2 linked regions of the Alligator mississippiensis genome follow. The main gene of each other region encodes a partner of the protein of the gene in region 2 in a complex. Links are inferred from orthologs where the notes say so. Each region holds a gene or a part of one and is shown on either strand. Other genes may lie near its edges.

Region 1 (8,113 bases), on a different chromosome or scaffold from region 2:
GGGCCCGGACGCCTGGGTTTTATCCTCAGCTCTGGCACTGACCTGCCGGGTGACCCTGGGCATGACCCCTCTCCTGAACACATCGCCTAGGGTATGAGGAACCAGCTAGGGTTGTGCCCCCATGACGCTGCCCCCAGACCCACATTGCCTGCTAGCCAGGCCCCCGCTCTGCTAGCCACGCTCACGGCCAGCGTTGGGGCAAGGGCTCCAGCCAGGACCCGCGTCCCCCAACTTCCATCCACACCTGGAATGAATAAGGCAGGGCCTGGGGACACCCGGCAAGGAGGGGGCTCCTGGGAGATGTAGTCTGGGGCAGGGGCCTCGGCAGTGAAAGCTGCCCTGTCTGGGCCAGGCTGAATGGGCGCCTTTCACGCGCCGGCCCAGCTATAAATAGCCATGAATCGGTCCCTTTGTTGCAGCCGGCGGAGAACACGAGTATCTGTGCTGCAGGGCAGGATTGGGGCGCGGGGCGGGGGGCTGAGGATGGAAGTGGGGGGCTGCCAACAGCAGGGAGCCCCCCCAGTCCCAGACCTGACACCCCGGTGATGGGCTGGGACAGCCTCAGCCCTCCCAAGCCGGGGCACGGCCAGCCACAGTGGAACAGCCGGGCCACGGGGAGCCCGGTGCACACATGAACTCACACCCACCCCTGAAGTAAAGGTGCCATGCACGCATGCACCAGTGCGCACAAGTGTGGACACGCTCGCTCTCCTGAGTACACACCGATGCCTTATGCATGCACATGCCCCTCTGGCACCTGCCCTTGCACACTCCCCTTGCATGCACAGGCGAGCCAGGCAAGCAGGGCCCTGAGCCCCGGCCACGGCTGGCGGACAGAGTGCAGCTCCCGCCTCGCCTCACCTCTTACCGGCATCCCGAACGGGGAGGGGGCTGGCGCCTTGTGCCCTGGTGTGCCAGGGGGGCTCCAGGAGCCGGCCGGGCTGGGGTTGAGTCCTGCCATTGGAGTCCCAGGAATCTGCGCCATGGCACAGCCCTTGCCAGTGCCCGCCCCCCCCTCCCACGGCTAGGCCCGGGCAGCAGAACAACATGTTTACTCACTGGCTCCGTCCCACCGCGGCGTGTCAGTGCCCGCTATTGTGCGCGTGCCCCAGGCACCGTGCCCGCCCCTGCCAGCTGGGCCATGACATGGGGGGCTCCTGCTCTGGGACCCCTGTGAGGGGCTGAGCTGGCAGCTGGGGAAATGGCGGGGGGGGGGTTGTGGGAGAGAGGAAAGTGGGCAGAGATACGGAGGGTGGGATGGAAAGGGCAAGAGAAGGGATGGGGCGGGCAGCAATGGGGGAGATGCCAACCTGGTCAACGCCAGCCCCGTGCTGGCCCGGAGACCTCAGCATGGCCCGGGCAGGGCGGGGGCTGTTCCCACGCCCCCGTGACAGCGGGATGGGAGTCTCCCTGACAGCTGGACGCTGTGTTCCCAGTGCAGGAAGCGAGAGGGGACAGGCTGGGGCCGAGTGCGGGCACTGAGGGCACCTGGGCATCCTCTCCTCTGCTCTCTGCACCCTCTGCCCTGCCTGCTGCAGGCACGAGTCAGCCCCGAGCCCGCCAGGCCCTGCCCTGCCTCACACACTGCACATGGGACCCCCATGGGGGATTTTACTCCTGGGTTCTCCTGCCCTGGCTCAGATGCAGACATGCACTCGCACAGACACATACATGTATACAGACATACATGCACACAAACATGCTCACACACACATGCACGCAGATGCACACGCACACACACAGATGTACACACACACACGTAGGCATGCGCACCCACACATGCACACACACCTGTGCACATGCAGATGCACATGCACGCACAGACACAGGCAGGCAGACATGGGTAGACATGCAGATGTGCACACAGATGCATACAAACATGCATGCAGGCATGCACATGCATGCAGGCAGAAGTGCATGCCCCTGCACAGATGTGACACGTGCAGACATACACATGCTGTGCACATACCCAGGCACAGGCATGAAGACATGCATGCACGCGCACACACGCATGCAGAGCCAGGACCTGGGCTGAGATTAGGTAGCTCATTGCACACCTGGGCAGGACAGAGGCTCGACTCCCACCCCTCTGCCCCCACCCCCAGGTACAGCCTTGGCACTCAGAGGCAGCTCCCAAGTCACTTGGCAGGAGCCCCTCGCGCTCGGCACTGTGCAGTGAGTCTGGGACAAGGGCACATGGCCCCTCTAGTCCAGCCGAGCCTGGGAACCGGGTCAGACCCATCCCTGGCACCTCCCACGGGGACCCACTCTGCGCCTGGCCCCCAGATCCCCAGGGGTCCGCTGTCCTGGACCACCCCTGCTCCCAGGGGAAACTCTGACCCTCCCCGAGCAGAGCTGGGCGGGGGTCACACCTACCCTGCACGTGCCTGGCGCCCGGGCACTGCCCCTCCGCCCCAGCACCCGAAACAGCACGTCCAGCGTGTCCCGCGGCTTCATGGCCCGACTGTGGCTGGCCTGGGCAGCCCCTCGCCCTGTCAGCACAGGAGCGGGGTCCTGCTGGCCAGCGCCTGCTTGCCCGTGGGATCGGACGTGCAGCTGGAAACAATGAGGCAGGGCCGGCCTGCGGCAGGACGGGGCTTCCTGACGCACAATAGCTCCTTCCCGTGGTGCTGAGGTCATTGCCATGGCCCAGGGCCTGCCAGGGTCCGGGGTCTGCAGTGGCCTGGGGCTGGCCCAGGCAGGCTGCATGCCCCACAGGGGACCCAGGCAGGCCAAGGGAGCCCGAGGAGCCAGGGGAGAGGGCAGGCTGAGCCCTGAGGGGTTCGTGACACCGATGACACCGCCAGCATCGGCCCTGAGCCAGGCAGGATGCAGCTCGGCTCCGGCCCACTCCCGGGGCTGGACCTCGGGTTGGCGTCAGCGCCGGGGCCTGCCAGGGACGGGGCAGGGTGGGGGCTGGCCGCGCGCGCTGACATCAGCTCTCAGCAGGGAGAGGCCGGTGCACAGGGGGGCACAAGGACGTGTGCACATGCACATGTGTGCAGGCAGCCACCACACGTGCAAGCTGGCCCGGACCTGCACACGTGTGTGGCCGCATCGCATGCAGCGCTGCCCCATACGGCCTCCCACACACCTGCTGTGACACACGCAGCCTCCCCCAGCTCCAAACACACACAGCCCCCGCACTTGGGCACGCACACGTGCCCCCCCCCCCACACACACACATTCCCTGCCTGCCCCCAACCTGGCCCCTGCTTTGCTGCCTCCCTGTCCTCCTCCGTGTCCTCGCCAGGACCTCGGGCTGGGACGCGCCTTGCCTGGGCCAGGGACTTTCCAGGCACTTGGTGCCCCCGCCCCGCACCAGGCCTGGCCCCAGCCCCTGCTCTGGCTCCGATCCGAGGGGTGGATACAGGCCGGGAACCTCCGGGGGTCTGGGGCACCCCGCTGCGCGCCAGGAGCTGCACAACCACGGCTCGCACCCCCGGGGCCATCCTTGAGCCCCCAGCCCATGCACCCCTACAGAGCACCCCAGGCCCCCCAGGAGCAGAGCAGCCCGCTCCAGCCAGCCTGGGGGGCCAGGGCGAGGTCCCTGCTGTGGCCCCCCACATCCCAGGGCGGGTCCTGGGGCACCGTAATGCTGCTAATATTCGGGCTGTGCTTCCCCCTGCAGTGACTCCCCCCTGCTCAGGGCTAGAAAAGCAGCCTAGCCTCTCCCAGCTCCCGCCCCTCTTCTGGAGCCAGGGCCAGGCCTCCGCAGGGGGTCCCGGGCAGTGCAGCCCCCGGCCCCCTGGGGCTGCCGCGTGCAAGCCCCTGTCCCTCCAGGCCTGTTGCACGAGGCCCCTGTCCTACAAGGCCCTGCCGCACGAGCGCCCCGTGGTACGAGACCATCGCGCGAGTGCCATCGCACCAGACCCTGTCACACGAGCCCGTTGCACGAGGGCCGCCACTCGAGACCCTGTTGCACGAGACCCTGTCACAAGCCTGTTGCACAAGTGCCGTCCCATGAAAGCCCATTGCGCGACGCCCTGGCACACGAGCCCGTCACACGAGTGCCGCCACACGAGCCCGTCACACGAGTGCCGCCACACGAGCCCGTCGCACGAGGGCCGCCACTCGAGGCCCTGTTGCACGAGACCCTGTCACAAGCCTGTTGCACAAGTGCCGTCCCATGAAAGCCCATTGCGCGACGCCCTGGCACACGAGCCCGTCGCACGAGTGCCGCCACACGAGACCCTGTCACATGAGCCTGTTGCACGAGTGCTGTCACACAAGACCCTTGCACGACGCCCTGGCACATGAGCCTTGTCACACGAGACCGTGTTGCACGACTGCCCTGTCACACGAACCCCCCCCCTCCCGGTCCAATCCGGAGCGGCCCCGTTCCCACGGCCGCAGCAGCGCCCAGCCCGGGGGGGAGGGGTCTCCACGGCAACGCCTGGAAGCACCGGGGTTATTATGGGCTGGCGGGAGCCTCCCCCCCGCCCCGCGGCTGTGCCTGCCCCGCCCCGGCGTGGAAACGGAGCGCGGAGCGACTCCGGATCGGCCCCGCGGTACCTTCATGGCTCCGGCGCCGGCTCCGGGTCCGCGGCCGCCGCCCTCACCCCCGCCCCGGGCCGGCTTCCTGCGGGGCGGGGCCGCGGCTGCTCCGCCCGGAGCGCCAGGGGTTAATGAGGGGGCAGCCCGCCCCCTCCGCCCCGGGGCACAAGGGGTTAAGCCCGGGCCAGGGGGTGGGTCGCCCGGCTCCGGGGCAGAAGGGGTTAATCGGGGAGAGCCCTGGGATCCCCGGGCAGAAGGGGTTAAACCCTGGGGATCAGAGGGGGATCATCTGGAGGGGGGGGTTGAGGTTTTAGACCCCCCCAGGGCTGAAAGGGTTAATGCGGGGTGGGGGGGGGGGCGGTTAAGGTCTGAGACACCCCCCCCTCCAATGAGCAGAAGGGGTTAATCTCCAAGGGGTGGGAGTCTCCCTGCAGAGCTGAAGGGGTTAACCTGGGGGCGAGGGGGGGCACCCCCAGCCCAGCTACTGGGGTACCAGGAGGGGTTCGTGCCCCCCCACAGAGCGGAAAGGGTTAATCCCAGGGGTGCCCCTCCCTCCCAGTCCCAGCCCTGGGGCACAGAAAGGGTTAACCCCCTCTGCGTGGGGCGGGGCAGCCAGGAGCAAGAAAGGGTTAATGTCAGAGGTCTGCCTGGCCCCCCACCCCCGAGCTGAAAGGGTTAATAGGACAGTGCTCAGCTGGGCGGGGGGCTCCATCCTGCCCCCCTGCAGCACCTTGCTGGCACCTCTCCCACCCCAGGCCTGGGGGCAGGATCTGCCCCCCTCAGGGGCAAATTCTCCATGGGGGATGGAGAGCTCTGGGGGCGCCCCCCTGTGGCCTGGCCTTGGGGGCGTGGGGGAGGCAGGACTCCTGGGTTTTAAATCCCTGGGGCTGGGCAAGGAGGGTCCCCGGTGTGACGAGTCTGTCCGGTCTCAGCTGGGCTACGACCCCCCCCCCCGGGAGCTGGGGACCCCAGAACCCAGCGCCCTGCACCCGACACTGGAGCAGCTGTGCGGGATTCGAACCCACGGCCCAGGAAGCTGCAGGCCTGGGCGGCTCGGCTCTGGCAAGACTCGGCCCCCCCACTCTCCTGCTCCCCCGCTTGGTGGTGGCATTTGGCCCATTGCACCACAGAATTACTTTAATTACCTTTGGCTAATTGCAGGAGGCTTCATTAACCCCTCAGTGGGCAGGGCAGGGGTGTGCTCTAGCAGGCCCCAACAGCAATAAACCCAGGAGGTGGCACAGCTCCCGCCCCCTGCGCAGATCCAGCTGCAGCCCAAGGGACCCCCTTCCCCGCCCAGGGGGCCCAGTGCCCGGCACTGCGTGCCACACAGAGCTCGCCATCCGGCCACCTGGGCACTGTCCCAGGAAGCCACAGCAGGGGCAGCCAGGGAACGGGGGTGCAGGCCCACGTGTCCTGGCAACCCCTCCGCTGGCTCTGGGTGTGGACGCCTCTGCCAAAACCCGCTTGCCGCCTGCCAGCGCCGTGGGCCCGGGAAGCCTTGCCCCATCCTGCTGCCCCCGGGCCCTTTCACGCTGCGCCCGGACCTCGGGACTCCCTGAACCAGGCTTGAACCGAAAAAAATGTAAAGCGTTTCCTGTGCTGGTTCGGGATCAAGGCTGCTGGGGGGCAGGGGCAGGGCTGCGGAGGAGGCCTGAGAGGTGGGGGGCAGAGCAGGCCCTGTCTGGGCACCCCCAGGATGAGCCCCCCCAGCAGCTGGGATGCTTCCTGGGTCATGATGGGCAGGCACCCAATTGGGCATCTCCACGGGAACACACCTGGGGGAGGGGGGTGCCATCCTCATGCTCCAGGGCGGGAGAGCCGGGGTCAGGAAGGCTCCGGGAGCTGGCTGCCACCAGGGCTCCGGGCAGTGCGAGGTTAAGTGAGCGCGGGAGCTGGCAGGGTTGTCACCCGGCGCCTGGCTCCAGCTCCCTGCTCCAGCGCCCGGTTGTGACGCCGTTTGCAAAACATCTTCTGCCAGGCCCTGACCCCCCTGCCATCACCCCCCCCACGATACTCCGCTCTGGCCCTGCCACCCCCCATGCCCCTGCCCACCATGGGGCTCTCCTGGCCTGCTCCCTGCCCCCTGCCCCGACCCCACAGGCATCGCACCTTGGGCAGCTGCATCCGGCCGTGGCTCGTGCGGGTCCCGGGCGCTGGGGGCCCCTGACAGCAGCCACGGTCCCAGCAGCGGGCGCCTGCCCCCCGGCCCATGCAGTCTCCCCCGCGGACGCAGCCCCACGCTGCCTTCTTCCTCCGCACTGTTTTTTTCCTCTGGATCTTGCAAACTCCACCTCCTGCTCCACTCCCCCACAGCCCCCCCTTGGCTTTGGCATACACACACACACACGTGCGCGCGCACACATACACACACACACATACGCACACGTACACGCACACGCACACATGGCTTAATCATAGTTCCCTCTGTGCCAGAGCAAACTTGGCAGTGCCAGCAGGAGCCGGGATCTCACCCGGCTCGGGCCCCTGGAGCAGGTGGAGAAGGGAGCCCGGGACTGGGGGGTGATGGGGAGGGAGCCCCAGCCCCGGGGGGTTCAGACCCCGGCGGAAGGAGGTGTGGACGGGAAGGGGGAGGAGAGCCTAAATCCAGTGGCGGGAAGGGGATAATTAGAAACACATTCCCGCTCCCACATCGGCTGCGGTGTTGTTCTGTGGTGATGTGTGTGTGTGTGTCCGTGTGCGTGTGCACACACATGTGTGCATGTATGTGTGCTCATGTACCTGCCTGTCTTCTTGTGTGCCCATGGGCATGTATGCAAGTGCATGAGTGGTGTGCATGTGTCTTTATGTGTGCGTGCATGTGCATTGATGTGTGCGTGCATGTATGCATGCGCACATAGGAAGCTAGGCTGCTGTCCCCAGCCCTGCCACTGCCCTTCCCTGGCCCCTTGGGCTTGTCACTCATTGCCCCCAGTTTTCCCTCAGAGGTTCATGCCAGGGCCTGGCCCTAGTGTCCCCTGGCACAGAGCCTACGCCCCAACCCCGGCTGCGTCATGGATGGATAGGGTGGGGGCACTGGGGTGACGGCTGCAATGCTGGGGGTGATGGCAGGGCTGGGGGGGGATGGGGGATGTTGGGGTCAAGATCATCCAAAGTTCAGCCTTAAAAATAGCCCCTTCTTTGTGCTGCTGTTGGAGGATGTTGTACAACCCTCTGGGCCCTTCTTCCTTGAGGCCTCAATGCCAGCATGTGGGCAGGGGAATCGCAGGGGTCCTCGTTTGTTCTGCCCTGAAGCGAGATCACAAGTGGAGCCAAGTGACATCGTCCCTCCATGGTGTGACATCACCGAAGGAATCCTGGGGGCTTTGTCATCCGACGGTTACATCATATCCATCATCCAGCACCGTTGGCCGTCCGTGGGAACCCCGCGGTGCCCGCAGGTGAATGGGATGATGCCACTTCCCATTTAGGACATCACCGCTTTGAGCCAGGTATCACCGCCCCTTGCTTCTTGACTAGACCTGCAGGACCTTCCAGGTGGACTCGGGAGATGATGTCATCCCTCTGTGCACAATGGGAATCCTCTTCCTGCCCCACATCTGGATTCACTGAGGTCGCAGCTGGATGTCCGAGCAGTACGGGGAGCGCAGGGCTC
Region 2 (7,333 bases):
TATGAAATACATTCAAATATCTTATTCATTTTTATTGAAATATTATAGACCATACTTCTAAAAGAGCCACAACTCTTTTGCCTCTCAAAAATGTTGATGTTCAAGAGTATCTAATCATTTCACTCCCCGGTAAAAGTTTTTTACTAAAATGCTGAATTCTATAGCATGGAATTATTTGTGTACACAATTTTTTGGGAGCTAAAAAGGCCAATAATGTTTTTCTAATATAACATCTATTTTGTGAATTCTTTATTCATTGTAGATCAATATATGAGCACATGCTGCAATGTTGTCTTTCTAGCCAATGGAAAAAAGTAGATTAATGTCATTTACCTAAAATCTTACTATACTATGTAACCTGCTCTGCTATAGGAGTAACATGGGACCATCCCTCAAGTACGTACCCCGACAATGCTGATACTCTGATTCCATGTGATTAAGGTGTTCAAAATTTGCCTCCTCACTCCTGTATTATTACGAATATTCTTTGCAACACTTATTTCAAGGGGGGGAGGAGGTAGGGGGCACTTCACTTGCAAATCAAAACTTATCTTTTAATTTCTTTGAAGATTTTTCCTAGCATACAATGAACATATAAATGGAACCAGGACAGTTACAATTAAAATAGAGAATATTCTTTCTGAGCAAAAAAGAACCTTTTTATAACTTCTGCAACTTTTTCAGATAAATTTATATTTGGCTTTTCTCAAATTCTGAATTAAACATTTTGAATACTGCTGTATTAAGCCAAGTTCAATGATTAGGTTTCATTTGGTTATTAAAATATAGACGGCAGACTAACTAGAAAAGATTTGTCACAAAACTGAAATTGAGTAGCCACAATGATCTATCTTAAGAATTAAAAAAAAAACCCTCTTCCTAAGTGAAATCAAGGACAGCTAGTCACTTTGTATTACAGTTGCTATTAGCCCATAAAACCATCACAGTCAAAATGGCAAAACTCATCTTTTTCCTCTTATTTTGTCACTTGTGTTGAGTACCTTTACATTACAGTGAGGTCCACAAAAACACATTGGTTAAGCTTTTTTTCAGAAGTTGATCAGCACCACACACAATTAGCCCTTTTTGACATAGCGTTCTGTTGTTGCCTTTCAAACATTTAGCTTGTTCCAGGGGCTACTGTGAAATGTTAAATACTTGCAGGGTCAAGGCTGGAAAAGGCGCTTGATGCTAAAGGGAATGTAGCGTATTCTTGCAAAAGCATCAAGGCTAGAGATCTCCTGGGATATCAGGTCCCCACTCATATTCCACAAGAGTCATGCTGAGCTTCTCTCTTAGCATATTTCTCCTGAGCCTTTAATTCCACCTTAGCTGTCCATTATGGCTATGCAGTTCTCACTTTGAGTCCTAGATGGAGAAGGTACTGTCAATAGAGACAGCAGTAATTTCTACATTAATTCTCCCCAGAAATCCATGGATCTTGAGGGGAATACATAACTGCCTTTCACTTACTGCCAGTCTTGCTTTACCTTGTTCACCATACCTTAAAAACACAAAAGAACCATGTAGGTGTTTGAACCGAAGGTCTTCTTCTGTTTTATAGAGTTGGGAATACTTGGAGTATGGCTGCCAATGCCCTGACAAGGTGAGATTTGAACCCCTGCTGGAGTCATTTTTGCACCTTTGCTCTCCTTTTGGTCATATAATAAGAAACTTCAAGCCCCTTATTCTGAAACTATATTCAGTAAAAATCCAGTTAAATGTTCTCATGCTTATCCCCAACATATTTGAAAAGATGACTCATGTTTAGTTACCTAATTGGCCAATAACTATGGAGTTTTAATGATGCACAGAAGCAGGAAAAAATATCTCTCATATTACTTCGGTGTAACAACTGTCATTATGGAAATACAGAAAGATAAAAGGGAATATTTATCATATAGTACACTATCGAATATGCTTTCCAGTGTTCATGACACTTTAATCATTTAGTCATTCACTTTATATAAACTAAATGGTACATACATTTATGCTGTATCCATTTTATGCAATATCCTGAATTCTCTCTGAAATACTTCACAAATCATCTTTATAACTTTGAACTGCTAAATGTCACCAGAAATATTTTTTAAAAGTTATGAGATTCATATTTCTTCAAAACTGTGATCACTTGACATTTACTGAATCTTACCTTTCTTCCTTTTTAAATAACATATCACATAGAAAACAATTTATCCAGGTGCATTAAGTTATTTTTAATTCTGCTATTTTGGTTGATGGAACCTACAGACCTGTTAGGGAATATGCCCTGAAATTTTACATTTAGAATTTACACTTTAAAGAATATTTTAAAGATTTTTTCAACATCTAACATATGGACTGAAGCTAAGCTCTTGCGAAGAGCTGTAGAAACCAAGACCAAGTGATATAACCTACCCAAAGCTTTGCTTCACTGCATCAGTACTAAGGGAAAAAAGCCACTGTAGCTCTAGATGCCCTCCTTAATGGCAAATGAGGTGAAAAAAGAAATCATTCACACTTCTAGTTTTCATATTTTATGGACATTAAAAAATATGCAAGTAAGACCAGGCAGTTCTATTTATATTACAGTGCAAATAAACAGGGTTCAGCATATCATTTATATTTTTTAAAGACAGAAATAAAGTGCACAAGCAGATTTTGTTTTAGACCTGGAATATTTTGATAAACATAGCTAGCATACAGTCTACCACTTACTGTGAATATTTTACCTCCAGTGTTACTGCTGAGATCCAGAACGTAGAAAGCTCCAATGCAGCTTACTGACATTCAGCTTAACCAGTTACAGAAAACTTCCTCATTTTTCAAATCATCTTTATTTTTGTTGTTTATAAAACCTCTAAGATCCCAAGACTTCCGTAACTACATGAAGAGAGGGTGGACCTCGGACATTACCTCCATAAAAAAAAAGGTCATTAAAGAAAAAAAAAAAGATTAGTTCCCAGTTAGTTTCTGCTAGCACAGAAGTTCAGATTTCGTTGCTGAGATCATTGCTCTATTCTAAGCAGTTTTGCTCAATGTGTGATTCTAACAAAAACACCCTCTGCAGCTGGAGGGAGCCTTAACTAAGCAGAATTCTGTCAAGCCTTTCCCAGTGACTTGTGTCTACTAAATTCAGACTGATGTTTTGTGAAAGGGGCCTCAACAACCAGGCCCAGATTGCCTGAAAAGTATTTCCTGCCTTTGAGTAGCGTGTGTGTGTGTGTGTGTGTGCGTGCGCGCATGTGTGTGTGGGTGTGTGCGCGTGTGCGAGTGAGCAAGAGAGAGAGCAAGAGAGAGACTGCATAGTGGAGGGAAAAAAGAAAAAAAAAGACAACAAATAGTGTTTCAAGATCTGTGATTTAGCAGACATCAGAGACAACTCAAACTATTTAGGAGATTTATGATGTCGTTACATAATTTAAAAGTATGGCTGATTTACCAAAAATATTCTGCAAGAATATACCATGCATATGAAACTGAACTACCATCCTCAAAGACAGGAGAATGTCTTTGAATGTTCCTTTGCTCTTTTGCACTTCAGAGCAAGAAATGAGCAAAGAGCAAGTTGGCTTACATATAATAATACATCACATTTACATTCCCAGTGCACTTTGAAACATGAAACACACAGAATTCTATAGATATAGTTCATAGTGAAAACATATTTTTACTGATGAAATTCAGTTGGATCATGAGACATTAATGTCATTACAGTTTAAAAGTTCTTATAGCACAGGCAGTGGTACATGCTGCTTTACCTCTATTGAGAATCCTCCAGTGTCACACAAATCCAGCTTTGCAAAAGGACAGACTCCATCTTGATCATATTAGAATTTTGCTGACATAAAACAGTTGTAACTACTTTCCAGTTTGACAGGGTGCCTGAATCACGTCTCTAGAACAGTCCACAGCATCTACATCCTACGTTCTACACAAGTTTTGTGAAACTATCATCTGTTTATCTTTTCTGCTTTCTTCTGCCTCCTCTGAATGATTTCCTCTTAGTTGCTCCAGCCTGGGAACTTGGATTACCATTTGGTTTTGATTAAAACCAGACAGACAGCTCTGTAGAAGTTGGAGAGTAAGCTAATGGAAATCACCAGTATGGCTTTAATTTGTGTATCAATTAATAATAAATGTTAACTATTCACACGACACACATTACTAACACTCAAACCCACACCCCCACACAACATTAAGCCTGTAGGGGTCATTTTTAGGCAGAATAATGGAAATATTCCCACATCATTTAGTACGGTTAAGCAAGGCACATGGGAAGGATGCTCTTGTGTGTCACCAAACTACAGGATGGACCCAAACTAACTTCTTTTTTTCTTTGTTTATTAAAAAGGGAAGGAAGGGTTTTTGCTGAGTTTAATTATATAAGTTGCACAGCATTTTCTTTTTGTTCATCCATTTATCGCATGCTAAAAAACATTTTATAGTTATTTAAGACTAAGGGTAAGTACAGACACTCGAAAAGTTCAAGGTGGAATCAAGTGGTTTTCTGTAAGCGGTGTAGTTTAAATCAGCAATGAACGGAACACACATTCACCTTTTGGTGGGGGGCAAATCTTAGATGCTTTCTGCCATTTTTAAACCAGTCTGTGTGCCAAACGTCTGTTCTGTTATGGGTATAGACTGGTTTCCAACCACTTATACTGGTAAAAGTGTAGTGTCTGTACCTGACTTAAATGAATTGGGTTCTTACTGATCCAATTAATTGTAGTGTTTGGTGTCCTGTAGATGCAAGAAAAAGTGCAAAGTCATGGAGATAACTTCCAACTTAAATCATAAAACAAACTACCTGCTTTACTCACAGTAGTATCTGAACAACTAGGGAAAATTCTGTTTTTGGCTTCACTTTGTGGTTCTCTAAAATTTAGAACAAGGTATGTACTGATAGAACAATGGCAGACATTGTACCTAGCAGTTGATCCATTAACTTTCTTAAGAAATTCTGCAAGGCTACTCTTTTTAGGATGAATCTCCAACTGGCATTTGTGCAACAAAAGATGGTGGATTCTGCCAAATGTATAAAGTTGTTCTCAGCTATCACCTAATATGGACCTATCTGGCCCTAATTTACTAAGCCTTAGATCCTCAACATGTGGAAAGTTTTGTGTTAAATTTTGCAAAATGTGGTCTTCATTCCTATGAGTGTAATTTTATATGTGCATTTTCAAGCCCTGAAATTGTGGTATTAAGTCTTGAATCTGGGCTTGCAAAGTTATACATGCACAAATGGAGGCTGGACTAAAGCCTCTTTTTAAAAGTTGATCCATTATTGTCAGCAGATGTTGTGCATGTGGAGAAAGGCATGCATAACTTAAGGTTGAATAACTAATTCACCTAATCAGGTTCCCCATTACTATGAAGATGAAGATCTTAGAAATATATAAAATGAAACAATAATAATACTCAGATGTGAATTAAATACACTGCAATCTTGCAACTTGTAAATGTAACTATTTCAGCTAAATTGTTTATTCAAAGGCAAACTCTAGCACTAAAGCACAATACACTGGGGTGATACTTAATATTTTTCTGGAGGATTTTCATTTTATAGTTCAATGAATGAATGATGAGAAAGACTTATGCTAAAACCAAAATTTCTGTTTTGCAGAAAATCCATTATTTTGAAATTTGCTTAGTTCTGAATGAGAGTGAAAACAAAGACATTTCAAATGCCCTGCATTTATTCTTTACTGTTTAATTATAATTTTCAAAATGAAAAAAACAAAATATTCTCCCTCAGAAAGGTTGCAAGATAGAATTTCAGCCTAATCAAAATATTTTTTCTCAATTTCTTTTCCTAAGGCAAAATTTTGTCAGAAGTCAAGATATTCCATTGGGAGGTTTCACATTCAATAAACTATTATTTTTCCATGGAAACATGTTCTTTTTGTTTTTCAGTACTATATACATGTAAATACGCTATATAAAAATTGTACGATTTCATACATAAGGAGAAAGTAAATATGTGGAAATATATTACAACAGCATTAATATATACTAACTACTAAACAGTAACAATGTCGCTGTACAGCAACATGTTGTCATGCCCTATGTATACTACTTATAACTGTGAATGTATAGTTTTACATAAAGCATCTTAGCAAATACTAATACTTTTGTAGGTAGTTAGAGTCTAGGCCTGCTATTCAGCCATACCCATGCTAATGTACAGAGAAGGCAATATAAACTCTCTCCTACATGTTATTATTTAATATGACTCTATCACATAAAGTTAACTTACTTGCTCTTCAACTCACTTGCAACAAGAATATATAGATGGCACAATCCTTCAAAATAACAGACTACATTTTTTTAAATTCAACTTTTTTAAAGGTCTGTTTTACATTTTAAACTGTGAGATATGCCTGGAAGGTGGACTCAAAGAATTTTATATATCTAATAACTAGTCCTTTTTTAAAATATTTCCAGTCCTGGTTGTATCAAATCAGGGTAAAGTGTCCACATCATGAAAGCTACCTGTTGGCACTTTTAGTCCTTGGAGGATGAAGTACAGCTCATCCCTAGATGCTATCTTTCTTGGTTACATTTAAGGCCCATCATCAACTTGCACTGCTAATGTCTATGATACCCATTCCACAAATAACCCAAAAGTATTTTCAAAATTGCCAGTCCAGCACCCCTTTTTGAGAGCTAAGTAATATAAACAAACCCTTCTAATATGTATACAAGTCACCTAAATTCTGGTTAGGTAACTTTGGATAAAGTATTTTGGATAAACGACTTTTCAGTACTAAGATGCTATATTTTTATTATCGTTATGTTTATTCACAAAGTATTGTGTAGGACATTAATCATTAAATTTTGGAAATAGTTTAAAAATAGAAATATCTTATGGAGGATTTCAGAAATAAATAAAATGTGGGTAGAATTCTTTGGTATCACTTGTGAGCTATTAAAGTTATTCACGTGGGGCTGTAATAAAAGAAGAATGATTTTAGAAAGGTCAGAAGACTATGTAGACTAACTGGCTCAGTAGCTACTCTACCTTGGAGCCTCTAAGGAGAAAGCAAGTGCTATGTGATTACACAAAAATAATATTTTGGATCTCTCAGAGGGGCTGAAATGTCAAACGCAAAGCCACTGCTTTTATGTTAGGGGTAAATACAACATGCATAACCTCTCAAACAGCAGACATCAAATTTAGAGATAGTATATCAAGAGATCCGGTAACCACATGAGTTGTCATTTTGATATGCACTGCAACAGCAAAAGCCACATGATATTAACAACATCAGGTATTATTGTATCCATGCAGAAGCCAGAACATATATATAAGCAAATAACTGATGAGTCTCTTCTTATAAAAACAATT

What was found.
Region 1: the proteins of DLC1 (region 2) and TNS2 are in contact, whole or in part, in an NMR structure (PDB 2LOZ), measured with the Homo sapiens proteins. The link is inferred for Alligator mississippiensis from reciprocal best matches to the Homo sapiens genes DLC1 and TNS2. Residues at the interface, in NP_001335010.1 of Homo sapiens: Glu811, Asp812, His813, Lys814, Pro815, Gly816, Thr817, Phe818, Pro819, Ala821, Leu822, Thr823, Asn824; in NP_736610.2 of Homo sapiens: Asp1268, Leu1269, Leu1270, Arg1271, Gln1272, Gly1273, Ala1274, Ala1275, Cys1276, Lys1317, Ser1319, Ala1320, Gln1321, Thr1324, Leu1387, Asp1388, Pro1389, Asp1390, Gln1391, Val1403, Leu1404, Leu1405, Gly1406.

The regions. Positions count from the first base shown.
Region 1 is NC_081838.1:9,353,192-9,361,304, forward strand, and holds the start of TNS2 (tensin-2), read right to left. Parts: upstream 3,097-8,113; 5' UTR 2,710-3,096; coding exon 2,377-2,709; intron 1-2,376. UniProt on the Homo sapiens protein: Tyrosine-protein phosphatase which regulates cell motility, proliferation and muscle-response to insulin. Phosphatase activity is mediated by binding to phosphatidylinositol-3,4,5-triphosphate (PtdIns(3,4,5)P3) via the SH2 domain.
Region 2 is NC_081825.1:62,126,301-62,133,633, forward strand, and holds the start of DLC1 (rho GTPase-activating protein 7), read right to left. Parts: upstream 3,104-7,333; 5' UTR 2,712-3,103; exon of another isoform or gene 2,698-2,711; intron 1-2,697. UniProt on the Homo sapiens protein: Functions as a GTPase-activating protein for the small GTPases RHOA, RHOB, RHOC and CDC42, terminating their downstream signaling.